3 linked regions of the Astyanax mexicanus genome follow. The protein of the gene in region 3 purifies or fractionates together with the protein of the main gene of each other region. This does not show direct contact. Links are inferred from orthologs where the notes say so. Each region holds a gene or a part of one and is shown on either strand. Other genes may lie near its edges. The genes, in order: emc1, nudcd3 and klhl22.

Region 1 (7,686 bases), on a different chromosome or scaffold from region 3:
TTGGTTTTACACTATTTTAAATAGAGATGGTATAGGGTCACATATTCTGATACCAGCTGTCAGAAAGTGTGACCCCTATTCTAAATCATTATGGTCAAGTCCAGTAATAAATGTTTTGTGTAGCTGAAAAGGTGAAGGAATAGTGAGTAATCTGAGAAGATTTGGTTAGTTTTACACTATATTTAATAAAGATGGCATAGGGTCACATATTTTGATACCAGCTGTCAGAAAGTGTGACCCCTATTCTAAAGCATTATGGTCAAGTCCAGTAATAAATATTTTGTATAGCTGAAAAGGTGAAGTAATAGTGAGTAATCTGACAGTATTTGGTTGGTTTTGCACTATATTTAATAGAGATGGTATAGGGTCACATATTCTGATACCAGCTGTCAGAAAGTGTGACCCCTATTCTAAATCATTATGGTCAAGTCCAGTAATAAATATTTTGTGAAGCTGAAAAGGTGAAGTAATAGTGAGTAATCTGACAGTATTTGGTTGGTTTTGCACTATATTTAATAGAGATGGTATAGGGTCACATATTCTGATACCAGCTGTCAGAAAGTGTGACCCCTATTCTAAAGCATTATGGTCAAGTCCAGTAATAAATGTTTTGTGTAGCTGAAAAGGTGAAGGAATAGTGAGTAATCTGAGAAGATTTGGTTAGTTTTACACTATATTTAATAAAGATGGCATAGGGTCACATATTTTGATACCAGCTGTCAGAAAGTGTGACCCCTATTCTAAAGCATTATGGTCAAGTCCAGTAATAAATGTTTTGTGTAGCTGAAAAGGTGAAGTAATAGTGAGTAATCTGACAGTATTTGGTTGGTTTTGCACTATATTTAGTATAGATGGTATAGGGTCACATATTCTGATACCAGCTGTCAGAAAGTGTGACCCCTATTCTAAGGCATTATGGTCAAGTCCAGTAACTAATGTTTTGTGTAGCTGAAAAGGTGAAGGAATGGTGAGTAATCTGAGAAAATGTGGTAAGTTTTAAACTATATTTAATAAAGATGGTATAGGGTCACATATTTTGATACCAGCTGTCAGAAAGTATGACCCCTATTCTAAAGCATTACGATCAAGTCCAGTAATAAATGTTTTGTAAAGCTGAAAATGTGAAGTAATAGTGAGTGAAGATTTGGTTGGTTTTACACGGAGATGAATAGTGTCACATATTCTGATGTCAGATGTCAGAGTTTGAGTAAAGGCCAGTGATTGCCTCACTCTCACAAAAAAAACTTTATAACTCATGTTTAAGATAGGACCTGACAAAGGCACATTTTTACAGTTGAATCAAGTATCAGCCCATTTTGTCTCCAAAATAACAGAAAACAATGAAAAAATAACCTAACCCTTTTAATAAATGGAATTAAAATGGAATCTTTTAACATCGGATAGGGCATTATAACTACCATTTGAATAATTTTTAGATCAGTTTAAATATGATACACATTATCTAATGTATGTTTAGCATAATAGAACAGGTGTAAAGTATGAGATAATCTATTTTCTTCTTATCTAATATTTTACTGGTTCTGACGTTTTGGTTTGTTTAGGGAAAAAGCTTGTATTTTGCAGTGCACCCCCCCCCCCCCCCCCCCCTACTTTCTTCATACGACGTGAAAATGCAGAGAATTAATAATGAAACGTTCATGTTCAAGATCATTTATTTTATTTATAGACAACATAAAAATGTAAACACCCTTTTTTCATCGTTCGACAGCAGCAGAAAGAGAAAATAAAGCGAGTCCGCGTAGCTTACGCAGTCTACGCAGCGCGCTCGTGCCCGTGAACAGAAACTGTGAAGTAGCGCCCTCTGTGGTCACAAAACCCGACGGTCACAGAAAACGGTGTAACACCGGCACACCAACTGGCACATCTTACAACAGCCAGCACATTAACTGGAACATCTTTAAAAAATTCAACATACCAACTGACACATCTTACAGCAGCCAGCACATCAACTGGCACATCTTTAAAAAATCAGGCACACCAACTGGCACATCTTTAAAAAATCCGGCACACCTTACAGCAGCCAGCACATCAACTGGCACATCTTTAAAAAATCCAGCACACCAACTAGCACATTTTACAGCAGCCAGCACATCAACTGGCACATCTTACAACAGCTGGCACATCTTGGGAGAAACCAGCACATTGACCGGCACATCTTGCAGCATCCAGCACACCGACACATCATTGTTTTGCACACCATGCAAGCTTGATTCAAACAGGTATTAATACATATTTCAAAGAGATCTTATAATTTTTGAAAGCTTAATTTAGGATTTACCTGCTTGAATGGAGCAATCGAAAAACGCACGAGATGCGTAATTACGCACGGGATGCGTAAAAGCGCACGTGATGCGTAATTACGCACGAGATGCGCAATTACGCACGAGATGCGCAATTACGCACGAAATGCGTAAAAGCGCACGAGCTGCGTAATTACGCACGGGATGCGTAAAACGCATGAAACGCGTAAATACGCACGAGATGCGTAAAAATGTATATAAAATAGGAGAGGAGGAGTAGGAGAACCCTATACAGCACCGTGTCCGGTTCTGTCTTCTTCAGGACACGATTTAATAGGTGTGACATGGAAGGCATGTCTTATTCAAAGGACAGAAGTCCAAAGAAGTTATCAAATTTTCTAAATCTAGACAGCACACAATAACACATTTTCACTATGAGTAGCCTAGTGCAGCCAATAGGGCACTTTGTCTGTTTTTTACCAGGTACCAGGTTTCTACATGGTATACTTTCTCAATCGTAAAAACAGCATCCAGCGCCTCATGACCTGAGGTGTTTTAGAGCAGGGATACAGCTCTCCCGTTCTGTGAAAAAGGACTGCTAACGCTAGAGGGAGTCCGCGAGAGAGTCCTCAATAAATGGGGTAAATTGAGCTAAACAGCTAAAAACTCTAAATTAAAATAGTAACTACTACCTGTCCAAAATGCTTCTTTAATTTTGAAAATAATAATAAAGAACTGTTCTAAAAAAGTAAAGAAACTTACCTGTACGTAGCTATTTTTCGTACAGCATACAAGTTTTAGGCAGGAAGACGCTAGCATTTCTGCTAGTGTGCTGACCGGTTGGTGAGCTGATGCTACAATTAAAGCCAGAGCACGTTTAAAAGTTATACAACGATTTTAACTAAGGTTTTAAAGCTCGCTGTTTAATTAAAAACAAGTATCTCAATTTGGTAAATTTTTGGTTTACTACATACTATTTCATAGTCTAAAACACAAACTGTCCTTTTTACATTGTGTAAAAATTGATAAATGGGCCAAAATGAGCTGAAATTTACTCTTCACATTGACTTACATTTAAATAAAGCTAAGAAATCTTTAGCTAATTATCTCTCTAAAACGCTAAAGTTGCTGTTTTTGAGATACATGTTTTTCTTTGGACAGCGACTATAAATCAGCGGTGCTAAAACATTTGATATTGTTCTATGTTCAGGAAATAAGCAGCGATTTCAAACTCAAAACTCAGATTCGAACTGAATCGATTCATTTGAATCACAGTGTTTGATTCAAACTGGTTCGAAGTCTGTATCGAAACAAAAAATAAGCTTGACTTGACGGTCACAAATCAGGTTTTGAACCTTTTGATTCAGTCTTCCCAAACCCTCTGTTTGCCATCACTAGTAAAATGATCAGACATTTAGAAAATGTTGCTCAGTTGCTCCATGTGGATCCATTTTTTCGAACAACTCCAAATCTTTTCTGTTTGCAATGTATTTGCTGTATAGATTTTATAGTAGAATAGTAGTATATAATATGAATATAATATAATATTCTCATATAAAATCTATATAGCAAATAAATCAAATTAACTAAAATATATAATATATATTTTATTCAAATTGCATTGGAAGGCTGTATGTAATATTTTATATTAAATTACATAAAACATTCCTAAACAGTTAAAGAAAACATGATTAAAAAGTGTTATAAATGTTATTAAATTCAATTAAAGTAAAACATAACTTTGCCCCAAAGGCTAAAAACTTTAAAAAATAAAGAAAACGCATGATAATGTCTAAATGATGTACATTGTAATGGATGAAAGGTCGGAAAGGGTTAAAATATAGCTAAAAGGCTGCCCAGGGAACTGCCTGACTGTAATAATCCTAACAGCCTTCCTACAGATGCACATAAACACTGTAGTCAATCTGTTAGGGGTAATATGGAAAGTACAGTATGAAAAAACTGAAGGTTTAAATAAATGATATTATTTTCGTTTTGGTAATTAATGAATTAACGGATAGTGAGGGTTTGGTCGTTGGGTCCTGAATCGCGGAGGCTGATGGGACCCGCGGAGGATCTACAGTAGCAGCAGCAGCAGCAGCGATGGCCGGGCTGTGCTCTGTGTTTTCTGTGTGTCTGTGTTTATTAGGGTTCTCTGCGGCGGTGTTTGAGGACCAGGTGGGGAAGTTTGACTGGTATGTACAGGCGGAGAGATTATACACTCTGTAAATATCGCTGACAGGCAGCTTTCTGAAACACACCATTCAAACTGGTCACCGGGGAGCTAATGGCTAGCTGACTAATGGCAGCCAAAGCTAAAACTGATTGGCTGGTGGTGAGATGTAGCTTAGCTAAGCTAGTTAGCTTGCTTAGTTGTTCTAAATCATAATTATTGTAATCAGATTTATAGCTAGGGTTAAGTATCTATCATATCAAACAACTGGTCGATTAATGACAATAGTTAAACTGAATACACCTGCTGTCGCTTGCTAACCTAACCTATATGTTTTTGCTTCCTTAACGACTGATCCCAGCTTTATAGCTACAGTCATCATAATTATTCTTTCGGAAACTGCTAATCAGTTTTTCAGGTTTCTGAAAGAGAAATGTTGTGGTTTCAGTCTGAGTAGAACATGTCTACCCTTCTATTATTTTAACTAAGGACATTGACTAGAATTGCAAGATTATCTAGATTTCATTATTCTCATTTTCCATTCCAAAGATTGTGTAGACATGGTATTATTTGAGTCTCAGTAGAAATGTAGATTTTTTTGTTTGGTTTTTAAATGACATTTACTAGAACTTGTAACATAGCCCTCATTTTTATGTTGTGATGTTTAATTTAAGTAGGGCTGAACTGATGTGGTAATTCTGGGTTGATGCAGATATATTGAATTACAAATGTAAAGCTGATGATATCAGTATACACATTAAAAACTTACCAGCTAACTAGTTCTTACATCAGCTTTAAATGAACTAGTCTTATTAAACAATATATCTATTGAAACTAACAACAATATGTACATATCATTGGATTTTAAAGTAGGGCAGCCAGTGTCGGCCTGTTGTCAGTGGTGCAGCCAGTATTGTACAGCAATACACACGTAAACAAGATTCTGTTTAAAATATCTAGACATAGATATGATACCAATATGAGTCCAATGTCATCACGTATCCCTACGTTTTAGCCAGTGATTTTTTAGTGTAAAGAACTTACTACAGTCAGTGATGTGCAATAAATTTAAAACACATTTCGTGTTTTTAGTATCTTTTAGTGTTTTTGTTGGTTTTGTCTAGAAGCCAGTTAGTCAAAAATGTGCACACAACTGACTAAATGTGTTTTCCAAAATAGACAAATATAAAGATATTTGTATCTAAAGGCTTATACTAGCCTCTAGTGCTATCTGAGCCAAACCTAATATGATAAGAAAAATATGCATACTCATTTAAGTGTTTTTCACATGGCCAAAAATATATAATTGCTGTTTTTCTGTGAAAAATCTCATTGTATCTATTTCTTTTGTACATAATTTGATACAAGCAGCTGTGCATTGCATGAAACCATCATCATGAATGAACCAATGCAATACAATGTTCTGGAAACAGAGCTAGACTAATGAACAAATTCAACAGAAGCTAATTCATTATTGTTGCCTAAATGTTGTTGTGCAATCTTATTTTAGGAGACAGCAGTTTGTGGGGAAGGTGCAATTTGCACTGTTCGATACTCATTCCCAGGCATCTAAAAAGCTACTGGTGGCAACTGAGAAGAATATTTTTGCCTCTCTGAACTCCAGAACTGGAGATCTTTGTGAGTATTACTCTCCAAGATGCATTAGTTTAAATAAGAATAGTTACATTTTTTATAATTGACTGGAAAATGTAAGTTAAAATACATCGAATGTATTTATTTTTCTATGTATGAAGGTGTAGAATGAAGCAAGGATAAATATATGTAAGAGTGATCTCTTGTTTCTTTTTGTAGTCTGGCGACATGTTGACAAGACCGGACCAGATGGACATATTGATACACTTATGATGCATGGCCAAGGTACCTGTGAGAAAGTATGAATTTTAATTTTGCTACTAAATAAAGTGCAGCGAGTAAACTGTGAAACCGTGGTCTTTGCTGTTTACTAGATGCCGTTGTTGTTGTTGGGAATGGTCGACTTCTTCGATCCTGGGAGACCACTGTTGGAGGCTTAAATTGGGAGACAGTGCTTGATACTGGAAGGTTGGATGTTTGTGACCTTTATGATTATAATGGTGTTGTGATATTCAGAAATGTAATAACATATATTATCCCTTTAGTTTTCAGTCTGCTGCTTATATTGGAGTCCAAGATGTGGTGAGGTATGTTGCGGTGCTTAAGAAGTCTGCCATCTCGCTTCATTACCTTTCCAATGGCCATCAGAAATGGGTGGAAAATCTTCCAGAAAGGTGAAACTAGTTAATATTTTGCAGATGAATTATTTATTTTAATAGATATAAAATTGTTCTTTATGTCACTTATTTTTCTTGTAAATCTCTAAATCACTTCGTTACATTTTTTGCATTCTATTGTTTTGTATGTTTTAGTGACACTGTTCAATATCAGACGGTCTACTCTGGAGGGAATGGACAGGTCTTTGTTCTTGGTGTGGTCCCCAATTCTCATATTGTTATTGTTGAATACAACATAGAAGATGGAGAAATCATGAAACAGGTAAGCATGGATTCTATTGTTTTAATCAGGGCTGCCCAAAGTTACCCCGTTTAAAGAATGTTATTTGGCCCATTAGTAATGTACCCACAAAAATAAAATTAATATATATACACTCACTGTCAAAAGAAAATTGTGGCGAAAATAACTGCAATGCTATTTGGAAGGAAGATAAAGCTTGCTAGGGACAGTAATTGATGAGCTTATATGATATATGATATGGGAAGTACTTATTATGCTACACACAGAAGTAGTGTGTGACACATGTGAAACACAACATGCAGAATCTCCTGCAGTAATCCTTCCCATGCAGCTGGATTATTCATGCAGTTCCTGCAGATTTTGCAACAGATGTGGAGTGTTGATAGCACCTCTAATAGTATCCCACACATTTTTAATCAGGGGTCTGGTGATGCAGCTGGCTGTGGCATGGTGTCTGACTTCATGGCTTATTCCTTTGTCTGGAAAATATTGTTTTTTTTTTTTGTTTTTTTTATGCACGAAAAAATGTTAGCCTGTTTAATTATAAATAAATATTTTGTGTATTACAAATGTAACATTTGCAAATATTCCTGTCCTGGTGTGAATGATTCTCAGAAAACATATTTTGTTGTTCCTAGAAATCAGTTGCGGCTCCATGGTTGTCAAGCTTGCAGTCCAGCTGTGTGATGGTTGGTTCTGGGGTGCTTTTGTGTGCTGACCCAACTACAAAATCACTGTACA
Region 2 (7,951 bases), on a different chromosome or scaffold from region 3:
TGTCTCATTTAGGCAAAGTTTTTTTTTTTTGTATTATGATGGAATTATATGTGCCTTGTCTTTTGCACTATAATTGTGAACACACTTTTGCGTTAAAGGAAATGTTAATTTTACAGAATAATAATAAATGTGAAATTGGGAAGTTTAACCACCCCCAAACTTTTAATTTTGTCCTGTTTGAAAAAAAATGTTAAAGAAATTCTATTAAATTCCTTAAAACAGTGTTGCCTGGTTTATAATATTGTTGAGTTTTATAGTTATGCGCTGATGTGGTCTTTTTTTCCTGGGTTAATGCCCATATTCTGTATTTCACATGTAAATATCTGCTGCTGCTAATATAGATATTTATAACTTACAGAGAGATTACACACCCCAGTTTAACTTTAAAACGTTAATAACTAATAAAAATCAATAAATATTAGCTTAAATGAGTAGACGAGAGTTGGCCTTTTGTAGTAGTGTGGCCAGCACCTCTAACTCCTTTCCCAGCATAAAATAATAAAAAAAAAAATTCTAAAAACAATTAATTCTGGAAAAATAGCAAATATTATTGTGCATTTCTAGTGTTTTGTGTGTTGTTAAGCAGGCACCACGGGTACCATACTAACACTTTAGCAACCACCTAGCATTTGCTTAGCAACACCATAGCAACCACCTTGGAATTGTTAGTTACCACTTAGCAACCACACACCAACAACCAGGTATACCACAGCAACACCACAGCAACCACTTTGCCACAGCTTAGCAACCAACTGGGATACCTTAGCTATCAGTGTGAACTCTTTTAGCTGTCCACTTTTCTAATTAATAATGTGAATTATTAATCTGTGTAAACAGTCAAAAGACAAAAAAAAAAACAGGGTGTTAAATAATAAAGCGTCCCCACTTAGTTTTAGGGAGCAGAGGTAAATAAAAATTAAATTAAAGAAAATAGTTACTTCATCTCTTAAAACAATTAATGAATCTTATGAAAAAAATTGTTTAAATCCCTTAATGATGCAATAAATATTAGCATTAGGAAATCTATGCTAAGTAGGTTGCTAGATAGCTTAAAAATAATAAAAATAATTATAATAATAATAATAATAATAATAATGTTGGCATGTGTGTTTGCACATCAGGAACATTTAAATTTACAGAGATTATTTATTTGTTTTTGATAATTGTTTGCTTTTAGTGCATTAAAAAAAAATAATAGAAAAGCAAAAAAAAAAACTTTAAGCCTATATAATTTATAAACTCTCTGTGACGAACATACAGAACACAAGCATGTTTCATATTTTAAACCTTTATATTCACATGATATTTATAACACAAACAGTTTGAACTGAAAAAGAAACACAGCTGTGAGTTCCGATCCTCCCTCCATTACAAAACATTAACCAAACACACGAGAGGTTAGAGATATTTATACACCACTTTCTCCTCCACCGTCTGGATCTCCATCTTCACAGGACATTTATAGAAGTGCGAGAGCAGTTCCTCAGTGTAGCCAATAAAGAAATAATATTTACGAGGAGGCATCTTCTGGAACATTAAAGCAGAGATGATCAGCATGTTTCCTCTGCGCTTAATAACCAGTTCATTCGCCAGGCACCTGTGAAACGTGCCGTATATGAAGCGTCGGATGAAGGCGTCTTCTACTGTTCGATCTGCAGTGCCGTGCTCTCCATTCAGATTACCTAAAAAAACATAAAACAGTGTGCAAAATTCTAAAAAACTCTAAAATTGTAAAAGTCTTTTTTTTTGTTTTGTTTGAGCATAAAAAAAAAAACAGTGTGCATTTAAGATTTTTTTTTCTGTCTGTTGGATATACTGTAGATACCCAGTTCAGCAGGTGTAAAGTTGTGGTCTATGTGTCTATGCTGCATAAATGATGAATATATGGAACATATAGATGCAGCATAGTAAAGGAAAATCAGTAGTGCACTTTGTTAGTGCACCTTTGATAGTTTGTTGTGTTTTTTTTTTAATCATTTTAATAGTGTAAGTCAGTGCTGGACTAAATAATAATATGTCTTTTCAACTAAAATGAGCTGAATAGGCTGATTAGAAGTCTTGTTATAAAATAATATTAGGATATTAGAGCCATAATAAATAACTACACTATACTATTACATACACATACATACATACATATACCCAGTAAAACTGGAAAACTTTTCAAGAGGTTAAAATCAATAAAAAGAGTGACTTGCTTGTATGATGGGAGAGCCATCCCTTCCTGTGAGCGATCTGGTGGGGGGGCAGAGCCTCCTCATACGTCATCGGCCGGTCCCCTTTACCCACACGGATACGAGCAGCACGATTCTGCAGAGACAAGACAACAGACCCATTAACCCTGCAGCTACATCATATCCTTTACAGCCAATCAAAGCATTACAAATACTGACCATAAACCCTGAATATTATATAGTATCAGCATCATCATCACCACAATGCACAGCACTCTGTTATTTTACACTGACTGAAATATCACTGACAGTTGGCTGTGGAATATTTAGTAGTGAGTAGTGAAATTTCATGACTGGACTTGTTATTGCACAGGTGCTGCGTCCTACAGTATCACTGTACCACAGTGCTGGAATTCACTGAACTCCTGAGACCCATTCTTTCACTACTGTTTGTAGAAGCAGTCCCAGCATGCCTAGCTGCTGCTTTTATTATTAAACACCTGTGAAGACGGAAGAGATTCAGGAACAACTGAGTTTTATTATTTGGATGGGTGAGCGAATCATTTTGGCAATAATACAGTTTAAAGTTAAATTTTAAGAACACACCAGTCCTCCATACCTTATTACAGACTGCTGTAGAGTGGATGCTCCTCACTCCAGAGTTCAGCCATAGTGCACCATTCAACTGACTACACAGAGTCTATAAGGGAAGAAAAAAGTCATAAGCCATGTATCAGAAAATGAGAATATTATATGAGACCAATTGGTACTTTTGACAGTGTGGGCAGTGTGCCAAGTCCGGCTGGAAAATAAAATCCGCATCTCCAAAAAAGTGCTGTAAGATTTTTCCACTCTTCCTCCAGACTCTGGTCCTTTGATTTCCAAATGAAATGTAAAATGTACTGATCATCAGTGATGGATTGGAGAGACATGTCATTTGCTGGTGTTGATTCACTGTGTCAACCTCTCAATTATAGTTACATTTCTTAAATAAAAAAAAAATAATATATATATATATATATATATATATATATATATATATATATATATATATATATATATATATATATATATATATAGGGCTCTGGAAACAAATAAGGGCCCACTTCAGTTTCTAAATCAAGCTTGGCTTGATGGCTTGTGGTCATCCATCTCCCTTTTGATTATATTCCAGAGGTTTTCAATTTGAAAAATCAAAGAATCTCATCTTTTTTTACACACTCTCTTATTTTTTTTTCACAGCTGTGATATATATATTAACCCTACATTAAAAATAATGAATTAGGGACAATAACACAGTAACTCTGCTGTATTCTCAGGCTCGCAGTGCTGCCCGCTCTACACTACACACAGAGAGCTGAACTATAAAGAGCTGCAGGTGATTTTTTGGTAATAAACGGAGTATTAATGGTGTAAATCAGCGCTTACTGTTAATAATCTCCTCTGGCTGCTGAAGGACGCCGCCATGGCTGCTGCACATGACCACCAGCGACCATCACCCGCTTCCTGTACCGCAGCGGAGCTTCACTGCCGCCCCCTAGCGGCTCCTCACCCACACACCAACCCAGATACACACTGTACTGTACAATGCATTTATAACATACAACAATATTTTTACCTTAATGTGTTGCAAATTGCGACAGTTTGAAACATTTTACAATTAAATAAGATATCTAAATTTTATTTATACATATATATATATATGTGTGATGTTGCTTGTATGTGCGGTGAATTTGGCCTAATATTGTGTCCATTTCATGTTGATTCTTTGTATTATTTACAAAGATTAAAAATCAATTAAACATTATATTCATTAAAACATCAATATCAACAAATAATATAGATACTACATTGAATGAAATTTAATAATATATTTGGATTTTAAAAGTACTTTTTTTAGATATTATAAGCATATTTAAATAGTATTCCATGATAAATCTTATGATTTTAACGTACTTTTGCGCTCTCTACTGGCATTTTGTTAAAACTACAACAAATTAAAATGAGGACAAAATAATTATTTTTCTTAATATTTTTTTTTTTAACATTGAGGACTGATATGCATACATAGATAGATAGATTTTTTAAATAAAGTAGTCTCTAAATATATAAATATATTAAAGTTATATCTTTAGTAACTTTAATAATTTTTATTTAATTTTGTTCTCTTCCTGTCAGTGGAGTGACTTCTGCTGTTAATAATGCAAAAGCCAAATATTTAATTAAATTAAATATGTTCATTTTATTAAACTTTTAATAAATTCTTTATAAATATATTTGTATTAACTTTTAATGGTTAAAAGTTGTGAACAGGCAAGGGAAGACTTTTATTTTGGTAAGTGGTACCGGAAGTGTTTAGTAAGGCTGTATGGTGTTGTGGCTGTGTGTGTTTTTTAGGGACTGAAGCTCTTTCTCTGTTTATAAACTGTGTAATTTACTGTATTTCGCGCAGTTAATCGTGTGTTTTATATCAGTGTGGTTTATTAGCGGTATATTAGAGCTCGCGCTGTGTGGAGAATGTCCTCGCCGGTGGAAATGACGGAGTTATATGATAACGCGCTGCTCGGGATTCTGCAGCACGTCGGAAACATCCAGAATTTTCTGCAGATTTTTTTCGGGTTTTTATACAGAAAAACTGATTTTTACCGGCTGATGAGCAGCTCTACCGACCGCATGGGTTTTCCGCCCGGAGTCGCGGAGAAAATGGTGCTGAAGGTGAGAGAATTGCATGCTGAAGAACTTGAAAAACTACTGACCTGTTTATTTACCCCCACTGTTCATCCACAACCAGTACAGTACAATACAGTGCTGTGAATGACTGTACAGTAAGGTACAGTACAGTGCAGTGAATTACTGTACAGTAAGGTACAGTACAGTGCAGTGAAGTACAGTGCTGTGAATTACTGTACAGTTAGGTACAGTGCAGTGAAGTACAGTGCTGTGAATTACTGTACAGTTAGGTACAGTGCAGTGAAGTACAGTGCTGTGAATTATTGTACAGTGAAGTACAGTACAGTGGAGAGTAGTGCAGAGCAGTACAGTACAGTGAAGTAACTTACAAATACAGTGCAGTGAAATACAGTACAGTGCAGTGATGTACAGTCAAGTGCCAGTACAATGCAGTGAAGTACAGATGCAGTGCAGTAAAGTACACACAGTGATTTGAAGTATACATACAGTGCAGTGAAGTACAGTACAGTGGAGAGTAGTACAGAGCAGTACAGTACAGTACAGTGAAGTAACTTACAAATACAGTGCAGTGCAGGGATGTACAGTCAAGTGTAGGTACAGTGCATTGAAGTACACATACAGTGCAGTAAAGTACACACACAGTGCATTTAAGTATACATACAGTGCAGTGAAGTACAGTACAGTGGAGAGTAGTACAGAGCAGTACAGTGCAGTGGATAGTAGTGCCGTGCAATACAGATACTGTGCAGTAAAGTACTGTGGAGATTAGTACAGTGCAGTGAAGTGCACTGAACTGAACATCTCTTGGCTTGGATGAACTAAACTTTAGATGTAAGGATAATTAAATTAAATTGGATTGAATTACATTAAATTTAATATTTCATTTTAAAGACTGTGTTCCTGAATAAGGATGACCCAGCATCATTATAATTTTATTTTTATGTTTATATATATTTTAACAATGCTATTTACAAGTCTCCTCTTTCTCCTTTGCCTCCAGACATTTAAGCTGTTTGAGAAGTGTGCGGCTCAGGACAGAGAGCGGGCGATGCAGGTTGCTGAGGAGACCAAAGCAGTTCCAGCAGCAGTTCAGGAGCTGGAGGTTCAGTCACAGCCAGAAGAAGCAGAACCTGCTGAAGCCCCTCAGGAACCTGCAGCTGCCTCAGCTTCAGCCACAGAACCAGACGCTGCTTCAGCTATGGAGACCCAGTCACAAAACAGCGTCCAGCCTGCAGAGAGTGATCAGGCAGCAGCAGCAGCATCCAGTTCAGCCTCCGGTTCAGCCTCCGGTTCAGCCTCCGCTTCAGCCTCCGCTTCAGCCTCCAGTACAGATGCAGGGTAAGGGTTTGGTCTTGGGCTTTGGTGGAACAATCCTGGTTTTTAATCACAGTTTTTCTGTATTTTGGCATGTTCTCCTCCACCAGTCTTACACACTGCTTTTGGATAACTTTATGCTGCTTTACTCCTGGTGCAAAAATTCAAGCAGTTCAGTTTGGTTTGATGGCTTGTGATCATCCATTTTCCTCTTGATTATATTTCATAGGTTTTTAATTTGGTAAGAGTTTAGATATACACACATGCATATATACTGTCTGTTTTTAGAAACAACCTACACTGAAGCATATTTGTTTTATTATGTATTATCCTAATAATTTTATTTAATTTTACGTAATTTATTGATCTTGTCTGTTGTTTGTTTAGTGGGCAGACTGTTTATCAAGCCAACTCGGACAGCTACAATGGTGCAGTTAGAGAAAACTACAGCTGGTCGCAGGATTACACGGATGTGGAAGTTCGAGTTTTTGTACCACCCAGTATCGTCAAGGGCAGACAGGTAATTAACAGCCATGGCTATCCACAGCAGTAAAAAAAAAAAAAGTAAATTACCTTCTAGATCCTACTGTAAAAATTCTTATTAATTTTTTAAAATACATTTTTAATTAATACTGAAGTGATTAATACTCTGAAGGAATACATAAGGAATCATGTAGTATCTTAAAAGTGTTAAACAAACTAAAATGTTAAATGTAAAGTATTTAGGTGTTCTTATCTGGGGAGCTGTTAACTTGCCAACAGAGGGACTTTTCGCTTTTCCTTTACTGGGGCGGTCCTGATGAGTGCCAGTTTCATCATCATGATGGTCTTTTTTGCAACTGCATTTTCGGATACTTTCATAGTTCTTGAAATTGACTTTCGGATTAACTGACCATAAATTCTTCAAATATTTTTCCCTTTTCTTTACTTAGTTGAGTGTTTTTTGCCATAATATGTATTAGAACATTACTTATTCACTGTACATCTTCACCACTTTACAACTGATGCTGTCAAACACATTAAGAGGCAAGAAATTCAAGTAATTAACTCTCGATGAGTTCAGCACAGCTGTTAACTGAAAGCCTGAATTCCAGTTGACTCTACCTCATAAAGCTGACTGAGAAAAGAGACAGCAGAGATGTGCAAAACTGTCTAATCTAAACAAGAGGTGCTACTTGTTGCAGCAATGACTGTTTAATATCTTTTTCTATACAGGTATCTGTGAACCTTCAGTGTGGTTCAGTTCGTGTAGCAGTGAAGGAGGGAGCGTCAGAAAAAGTCCTGCTGGAAGGCGAATTTACTCACAAAATCAACACAGAGAATTCGCTGTGGAGTCTGGAGCCAGGACAATGTGTATTAGTAAGCACTGTTTCATTTCAAGCTGTTTTTCAGGATATTTTTTAAAATAGAAAGTTGTTGTTTGATGTATAAATAGTAAAAATGTGATTTAGGATGTAGAGAAACATGTTCAGTCACAATTTTACAAGTATGATAATACAGTTTCTTTAAGACTGCAATTTAAGTTAAGACTGTTATGTCCCAGTTTTGAGTGTTTTGGGAATTACTTGGTTTTAGAGCCCTGTTTTGGTTCTGCAGGATGTTCTTTTGTTCATTACAGGACACTGTACACTGGATTAAATGCACATATCTTTTAAAGGATTTAAGGGAGTGTTCATACTCAAGTCACAAACATTATTGATGCCATAAAATAGCCAATATGTAGCTGATATGGCACAAAACACAAAAAACAACCCCCTAAAGACTGTACCTAA
Region 3 (8,459 bases):
GACGCACGTTTTCTCTTTTGAACGAAGTCGATATTTCGAAAACTGCGGCACTAGTTAACCGGACAAAAAACAGGTGGAATAATAATAATAATAATAATAATAAGAAGAAGAAGAATAAGACTTAAGAAGATCAATACTGTGATTGCATTACTGCAATCACACTAATAATAATAATAATAATAATAATAATAAGAATAAGACTTAAGAAGAACAGTACTGTGATTGCATACTGCAATCACACTAATAAGAAGAAGAAGAATAAGACTTAAGAAGAACAATACTGTGATTGCATTACTGCAATCACACTAATAATAAGAAGAAGAAGAATAAGACTTAAGAAGATCAATACTGTGATTGCATTACTGCAATCACACTAATAAGACTTAAGAAGATCAATACTGTGATTGCATTACTGCAATCACACTAATAATAACAATAATAAAAAAGGCTCTTATCTGTTTGCCAGGCACACCACATATTATGATCTTAAATATGTCAATACGTTTTAGATGATGTACAAGTTTACCAGATGTTTTTGTATAACATTACTTTCTTCTGGTAAAAAGTAATTAACTTACTTCATTTTTTACACTATAAGGTGCACTTAAAATCCTCAAATCTTCCCCAAAAATGTCAGTGAGCCAGTGCTTTTTATGTATGAATTTTACCAGTCAGGTTTTAAGGAGCAAATTGCAGTGTTTTTCAGTTTTAGTTCAGTTAAGTTATTCGGTTTCAGTTTTGTTCTTCAGCACAGAGGAGTAGCATTAGCATTAACCACTATTTCCCCTTTAAGAGGTGAGTATTATCGGTCTGTAGCCTGCTGCTTACCCCAGTTAGCACTGCTGGAGCAGCATTAGCATTACCCACTAACTGCACTCGCTATTTCCCTGTTCAGAGGTTAGTATTTTAGGCCTGTAGCCTGCTCCTAACCCCCGGATAGCACTGCTGGCGCAGTTAGCCAATAATGCTAATTCTAAGCTTAACCGATGCACTTTACTAACCCAAATAAACAGTTTTCAGGAAAGAAATCTGTGTAGATTAACATCCAGCCCTTGTTTGACTTTAAAAGAAAGTCTTTTTTTAATAAAGTTACTTAACTTAGTAAGCTACCCCTCCCTCACCCCCCACAACCTGCTGAATTAGAAGTTTCTGATCTATTACAATGCGCCTTATAATCCAATGTGCCTTATGTATAAAAATAGATGTTTATTGAGTGCCGCTTATAGTGCAAAAAATAATGGTAACAATGAATGAGAAAGATATACACAGGACCGGTTAAAGATTATTGTGTTGTCCAGTAGCACTGCTATATTGCCCAGATAAGCTGCTTTTTTTATTGCTGAACTTCACCTGTCTGACCAATTCTTCTCTTCACTGCTGAAATTGAGACAAAGTTCGATATTAAGCTGAGCTGAAGGCTAAAGCTGTTGCCATGTCGGTCAGACAGATCTCTTCCAGTACCAGTCGTTTGAATGTGTAGGAAACAGTACTCACTGCTCTTTGACTTCATCTGTAATTTATCTGAAGAAAAGACTTACATTCTTAAGTTATCTGTGTTTCTGTGTCTTTTTCTAGTATGTATGATAAAAGTGTGAATGTGTATAAGTGTGTAAATGCTGCAGTAGAGACAGCATTAACACATTCTGTTTCAGCACTGCTTTACAGACAGAGGCTTTGTAAAATGACATTTTTAAACCAATATATCACTTTTACAATATACTAATAATTGTTTTTTAAGAATACTTAAGTAACCTTTTTTCAGTTTTAGCTCATGTGTTTTTCTTAACCCTCAATGGCATCTTTTTGGTTATTACATCATCTCATACCATATCATACTTATATATGAAACCCTGTCAGTTTACTGCAAGATTTTGTAACATGTCTGAATATTGAGTGTATCTGAAGAGCTTAAATGAAAAAAGAGAACAAAACACTGACTGGTATTGTATATCTAGTGCCCTTTGTGATAATGTGCTTTTGTTATATATATAGAAAAAAGGATATAAGGGTGCAGGTCATAAACTCCCTGGCACACCAGCAGTATTCAGAAACCATTCAGGATTTAAGACCCTTCACATGCTCTAAGCCCTGCTAAACTAATATGCACAGACTCCCATTAGCAGTCAGGTTGAAACAGGTGAAACAGCAAACACAGAACACAATGTCCAGACAGAAAAGGGGTGTTAAGTCCCCAGGCCTGGTGGGTCTACAGTGTTCCACCTCATTTAACACACGTTCATTCAACTCATCAGCTACAGGAGCAAAGTCTGTGTGTTTGAAGAGAGAAAAGAGAAAAAACTCTGATCTCTGTAGAGCTGCAGCCCCCCAGGACCTAAGCCTTGACACCCCTGGCCTGTCTGGACATTGTCTCTTCCAGCATGTGTACCCTACCGCTGAAAAAAGGCTATTTTAAAGTCGTTCTGCCAGCACAAATGACTGAAGCATTTTTTTTTACTGGACTTGTTTTTGTAGCTCTGTCTGGTTCTTATTGATTTCTGACCTGTCATTAGTGTGGGACATATGTCAGCTTTTACAGCAGGTCTGAGTAGGCATTTGTTTGATAGGAGCAACATGCCCCATTAGTTATGAGTGCAATAAAAGCATTGGGACCCAGGCAGCAGAGGAGACAGAGCAGGACAAATAATCACATCAATTGCTTGAGATGGTTTAAAGATCAATGCAAATGCAATAGACTGCAAATGCAACAACACGGGACAGTTTCTATTTTAGTCTATTCTAGTCAAAAGTCTTATCAAATCTTTGCAAAATGTGAATTGAATCTTAGTTTCTATAGCCTATACATTCACGAGGCTGTTTATTTATTGATTTACTGACTGCTTCTGAAATGGTTTGTACAAACACTGCACGTGTAAAGGACCTATAAAATGGGACTAAATGTGTTTTCTATGATGTGTGAGGAACACGACAGATTTGAAAACACTTAACAAGAACAACATCGGCCTCTGTTGGCTAAAATAAGGAAGTGCACATTTCAGCTTTACTGAAGATACAGTTAAATAAGTTACATTAAAAAAAAAACATAAAATAAGACATAAGTAATACCATAACAGGGACATTTGCTACATTATAACAGTGCAGAGGACATAACAGAAGTGTCAGGAAATACAACAACAATAAAAAACAAAAAATTAAGAGACCAAGAGCTGTGGAAAAATTAAGACACCACTTCAGTTATTGAATCATGTCTCTGATTTTGCTATTTATAGGTATATGTCTAAACAAAATAAACATTGTTTTTTTATTCTATAAATTACGGACAGCATTTTTCTCAAATTTCAAATAAAAATATTGTCGTTTAGAGCATTCATTTGCAGAAAATGAGAAATGGCTGAAATAACAAAAACGATTCAGAGCTTTCAGACCACAAATAATGCAAAGAAAACAGATTGATATTCATAAAGTTTAAAATGTAAGTTTAAAACCATTTTAGTGGTCTCTTTATTTTTTTCCAGAGCTGTATATGTCAACAAATAAAAAAACCTGTTTCCCTTACATTCAAACTGTTATAATATGCTTTCAGATGTTTAAAGGCTAACAATATACACTACAAATGTGTAAATATTAAGCTTGCATAGTCCCCTCAATATTTGGGGGCAACATGGAAGTTTTTGTTTTGCAGTTGTGCTACTCATACATGTCCCACATGTGCATGTTATCTGGAGCAGCAGATCAGAACAGAGAAGAAAATAAGCAAAATCAAAGAAGAAATGAATTGCTCAGTGTTGCTCAGTAAATCAAACCAAATGAATCTACTGTTTCTATAGTCATAACGCAATGTCACAATATAACATTTTTAACGTTTAAAAGTGTTAATCATGGTGTTTATGTTCACAGTGTACAGGGTATTTTAAAAGGGGTGACCGGAAGTGAGAACCAGCTGGCGAACATAAACATAGCGCTAGCTTAGCAGGCTAATATTCAGTAGAGAGGAGATGTTTGATTCAGTTTACCGAACCGATTCATGTGAACTGTCTGAGTCAATGATTCAGTTCTGTAGCTATCCTCTGAATAAACTTACAAGTCCGTCAAAAGCCTTGTACATTTCTTATACTTTTTTAATAGAATCTCTTTAATAGCATTTGTGCTTTTTTTTTGTTAAGGTTGATTAACGTGATATTCTAACATGGTTTCTGTATATTAAATTAAATTAAAAATGCTCTATAATACCCCAGAGCCTATTTTATTATTATTATTATTATTATTATTATTATTATTATTATTACTACTACTGTGTGCACGTGACTGTAAATATTATAAGGTTAAAATCCTGATATAAAAATATAACAGATTTCATTAGTATTAAACTATTTATAAATGTTGTTCTAGAAATCAAGTCAGAACTAGTTCTACGGAACGTAAAACATTTAACTAAAGCTTTTAGATTGGTTTTAGTGCTTTAAATGATTTGGTACAGACCTATAGAAGCAAAAAAAATACAATTAATAATAATCAATAATCAATTAATAATTGATCTCCAGCACTAACCCAGTCCTACATTCAGTAAATAAATAAATAACTTCAGATGAACAAACACAGATTTTCACTGTCCTGTAGTGATGCTCTGAAGATATTCATTAAGCCACTTAGAAACTGCGTGAGTTAAAATGACTAAAAAAGTGCTGGAAGGAACACAGCTTTTAAATGGTCTGTGACACATAAGCGACTTCACTACAGACTATTATTGACTCTTAGAGTGATTCATTTCCCGTTGTGTCTCAGGTTATATTACTCGAACTTTTTTTAGAACCACAGAAAGAGAGGGTAATTAAACACTAAAAATAAAGCTACTTTATTTAACAGTTAAGCTCGCTTTGCCTTGTTTTTGTAAATTACTATCCCAATGAGTTTTGAATGAGCCCGAGCTACTTTGGTTCTACTACCCAAAGACATCTTATGTCTATGCAACTACCTACGAAAAAAGAACCGGTTCAAATGAACCGACTGATTCATGAATCGTGTGTCGCTAGGCTAAAGTCGAAAGCGAAATGTCAACTGTCAACAGCGCTGCCTGCCGACTTTCAGCCTTCTAGAGCCTCCTGTAGAGTGTCAGCCGCTGTTCCCGTAGGTTTCATTGTTTTTTCAGTTATTCATTTATGCACGCGACTTTTAACGGACGTGCTGTAGTAATATAACACTTTCTGTGCGGTTAATGAAGCGCACAAGTGCTACAGCGGAGCGCGGAGACAGCGTTAGCGTTAGCATCTTAGCTTAGCCACCTTGTTGCAGTGGTGCAAGTGTTTTTCAGCGTCTTCGCTCAGTCTGCGCCAAACAGCCGTAAATAAATATACAGCTACTGTGATTTATAATATTTTACACTAACTGGCGGAAAGTAGTCCTAGTTTTGTTAGTTAATGTTACATGTGATGTTTGTTAAGTTGTTAAGGAATCAGTGCATTTGTTTTTATTCTGTAGCTCTAGGGTGGTTAGTTAACTAGTGCAGGCAGACAGTACTGCGGTTTCTACAGCTACTGACTCAAACAATAGCCATGAAGTATTGTATTGTATTTATTATTACAGTAAAAAGAGGAATTACACCCATTTTTTTTATTTGAGATGCAGACAGATTGATTGTGATTGGTTTAGTTTTAAATTGTAAATTGTAGAGAAACTCACTAATTGAGATTTCTTTACAATGGTGGTGAATGAAACCAAGATTTGCAACATCTAAATCAACTGCAGCATTTTTATTTATGTCCAAAACAACAAGTAAATGTGTGTCATTGTTAGCTTTATAGTTAGATTGTTGAAACTTAACATCTGTAATCAGTGCACTGTACTTTCAGTTTCTTAACTGAGTCAGACAAACATTAAGTTAACTGTATGAACATATTAAAGGGCTAAAATGGTTGAAATAACAATAAAATGCAGAAGAAAAAAAAAATTCATATTTATAAAGTTTTAAGAGTTCAGAAATCAATATTTGGTGGAATAACCATGGTTTTTAATCACATTTCGAATGCATCTTGGCATTTTCTCCTCCACCTCCTCTTACACACTGCTTTTGCCACTCCTGGTGCAAAAAACCAAGCAGTTTAGCTTGATTTGATGGCTGTTATCTACCATCTTCCTCTTGATTATATTCCAGAGGTTTTCAATATGGTAAAATCCAAGAAACTTTTTTAATTGGTCTTTTTTTTTTATCCTGGGCTGTGTGTGTTTAAAGAATTAATAATTTCACTTGTTCTTCAAAATACAAACAATGTCACTTGGATTGGTTGATTATAAAATGCTGCATTTTAGAGAAACCCACTAGCTCAGATATCTGTACATTGGTAATTAGTGAAGCTGGATGTCTCAGTATCTACAGTACAAATATAGCTATTATATTATCTGTCCAAAGTAAATTTACCAGTAAATTTACATGTGTCATTGATTTGTTATGAGGAACGCCTTAAGATAACAAATTATACACACTTAAAGAGAAGTTTGTTCCAGACACTGATATACCAACAAAGTCACTCAGATTAGTTTAGTGTAAAATATTTAATTTCAGGGTAACATGCATATTTCTTTACAGTGATAGAAATTCGGGGATGATTGCTGTCTACAACACAAATATATTTTTAATTTCTGTTTTTATGTCTCTCCCGTCCATCAATAAACCTGTATGTCTTATGGGGCTTTATGTGAGGTAAAGTAGCAGTTAATGTTAAGAGTTAAGAGTAATGATTTTGCTTTCGAAAGCCCAGTGTGTTTCTCTTATTGTGTATTTCTTTTACACATTTACGCATTAAATCTAGTTTAAAAAAAAAAAAAAAAAGAAATTTTCACTTGTTGAGAAGCAGACAGATTGACTGTGATTGGTTTAGTGTAAAATAGTTAATTGTAAAGAAAATCACTAACTGAGATTTATTGAAAGTGGTGGTGAATGGAAACAGGATTTGCAATATCTAACCCAACCACAGCATTTTCATTACTGTCCAAAACAACCAGTGAATTTACATGTGTCAGTGTTAGCTTTATAGATTATAGAAACTTAAATCTATGATCAGTGCACTGTACTTTCAGTTTCTTTATTATTTCTTAATCAAATATTTAATTTATTTACTGTATGAATTATATATACACACCTAAAAAGAATGCACCTGTTTTTCAAAACTTCAAAACTGTACCAAATTTCCGTGTTAAAGTATCAGCACTACTTGGATTTGTTTAGTATAAAGTGTTGCATTTTTTACCCATTAGCTCATATATCTGTACAATGGTGATTAGTAGAGAGGAAAGTCTCAATATTTACAAAAGAAAAATTTAGCTAGCTGTTTTATACTGTTTTATGTGAAGTAGAATGAGGATTAATGGTAAGAGTAGTAAGTTTTATTTTTGCTTTAGAATGCCAAGTATATTTTTGTTTGCCATTAATTGGTTAAAATACATTTAAAGACCATACTGTTTTTTAGTTAAACATAATGTCATGCAGCAGGTTTTGAGTTGTGTTGAATATGATATCTTGAAATCCATTTATGTATAAAGTAGCCTGTTATATTTGATGCATTCAGCTGTAATAAATGGTTACAAAAATTCACTAAGTGATTATTCGTTTTTTTGTTTTTTTCACCTACAGCTTTCCCTTCTCATCTCGAAAACCTTTTCTCAGTAATGTGATCTACAGTACAAGGCCTTGCGTCTGGTGGTGCAGAAATGGCAGATGATGTGGATGCCAGCCCAGTCAAGGCAGGGCGAGGTGTAAACTCTGTGCAGCCGTGTGCCAGGCAGAAGTTCTGCAGCGGTAGCCACTCCCGAGAACTCCTGGATGGGCTTCTGGCTCTGCGCGAAGGGGGTATTCTTTTTGATGTGGTGCTGCTGGTGGAGGGAAGACCCATTCAAGCTCATCGCATCCTGCTTGCAGCTTCCTGTGGCTATTTCAGGTTATTAGTTCTGCATTTTGGTTTGAGCATCATTAGAGTTAATTACTTCGGTTAATACATTTGAAATTTGTGTTGTACTGGGATGTGTTAGACATTTTTTTATGTGATGCTGCAATTTTATATCATATTAATAATGAAACTTTAATATTATCTTTCTTTAATAGTAAATTGATACTTTTAGATAATACTACTTTGTTAAGTGATTTTTTTTTAACATAAGTTAAAAAAAAACAATTGTAGGACACCACAGAACATTGTAGATGCATCCACATCCACATAGCTGAGAATGCTGTATAATGTTAAAAATAAGCTAAAAATATCCCAAATATCTTTAGAAACTGAAGAAAAAATATTGTAACTTGACAACAAATGTTTATACACAAATAATTGTAATAAATTATACACAATTTATTCATTTCATGTTAAATAATATATTTTTGTTTTGGTGTCTACTTTTAAGTCTATTTGTTGTAAGATAAAGAAAAAGATGTAGAAAAAAACTCAGTTTATTAAATATGTACTTTCAGAGCATATCAGTGTAATTTACGTTCAACCTTTAAAATACACAATATG

What was found.
Region 1: the proteins of klhl22 (region 3) and emc1 purify together in Homo sapiens (co-immunoprecipitation; 3 studies listed by BioGRID and IntAct, with this or other methods). This does not show direct contact. The link is inferred for Astyanax mexicanus from reciprocal best matches to the Homo sapiens genes KLHL22 and EMC1.
Region 2: the proteins of klhl22 (region 3) and nudcd3 purify together in Homo sapiens (co-immunoprecipitation; 3 studies listed by BioGRID and IntAct, counting the BioPlex papers as one, with this or other methods). This does not show direct contact. The link is inferred for Astyanax mexicanus from reciprocal best matches to the Homo sapiens genes KLHL22 and NUDCD3.

What each region holds. Positions count from the first base shown.
Region 1 is NC_064420.1:35,925,141-35,932,826, forward strand, and holds the start of emc1 (ER membrane protein complex subunit 1), read left to right. Parts: upstream 1-4,304; 5' UTR 4,305-4,364; coding exon 4,365-4,456; intron 4,457-5,944; coding exon 5,945-6,072; intron 6,073-6,246; coding exon 6,247-6,312; intron 6,313-6,401; coding exon 6,402-6,495; intron 6,496-6,572; coding exon 6,573-6,701; intron 6,702-6,839; coding exon 6,840-6,966; intron 6,967-7,583; coding exon 7,584-7,686. Other genes in the region: uncharacterized protein zgc:154075, read right to left, coding at 3,024-3,080. UniProt on the Homo sapiens protein: Part of the endoplasmic reticulum membrane protein complex (EMC) that enables the energy-independent insertion into endoplasmic reticulum membranes of newly synthesized membrane proteins.
Region 2 is NC_064427.1:2,310,466-2,318,416, reverse strand, and holds the start of nudcd3 (nudC domain-containing protein 3), read left to right. Parts: upstream 1-4,518; 5' UTR 4,519-4,691; coding exon 4,692-4,889; intron 4,890-5,865; coding exon 5,866-6,203; intron 6,204-6,566; coding exon 6,567-6,699; intron 6,700-7,394; coding exon 7,395-7,538; intron 7,539-7,951. Other genes in the region: mrps24 (28S ribosomal protein S24, mitochondrial), read right to left, coding at 1,399-1,682, 2,199-2,310, 2,794-2,874, 3,603-3,641.
Region 3 is NC_064419.1:25,409,504-25,417,962, reverse strand, and holds the start of klhl22 (kelch-like protein 22), read left to right. Parts: upstream 1-4,975; 5' UTR 4,976-5,082; intron 5,083-7,582; exon of another isoform or gene 7,583-7,615; 5' UTR 7,616-7,659; coding exon 7,660-7,886; intron 7,887-8,459. UniProt on the Homo sapiens protein: Substrate-specific adapter of a BCR (BTB-CUL3-RBX1) E3 ubiquitin ligase complex required for chromosome alignment and localization of PLK1 at kinetochores.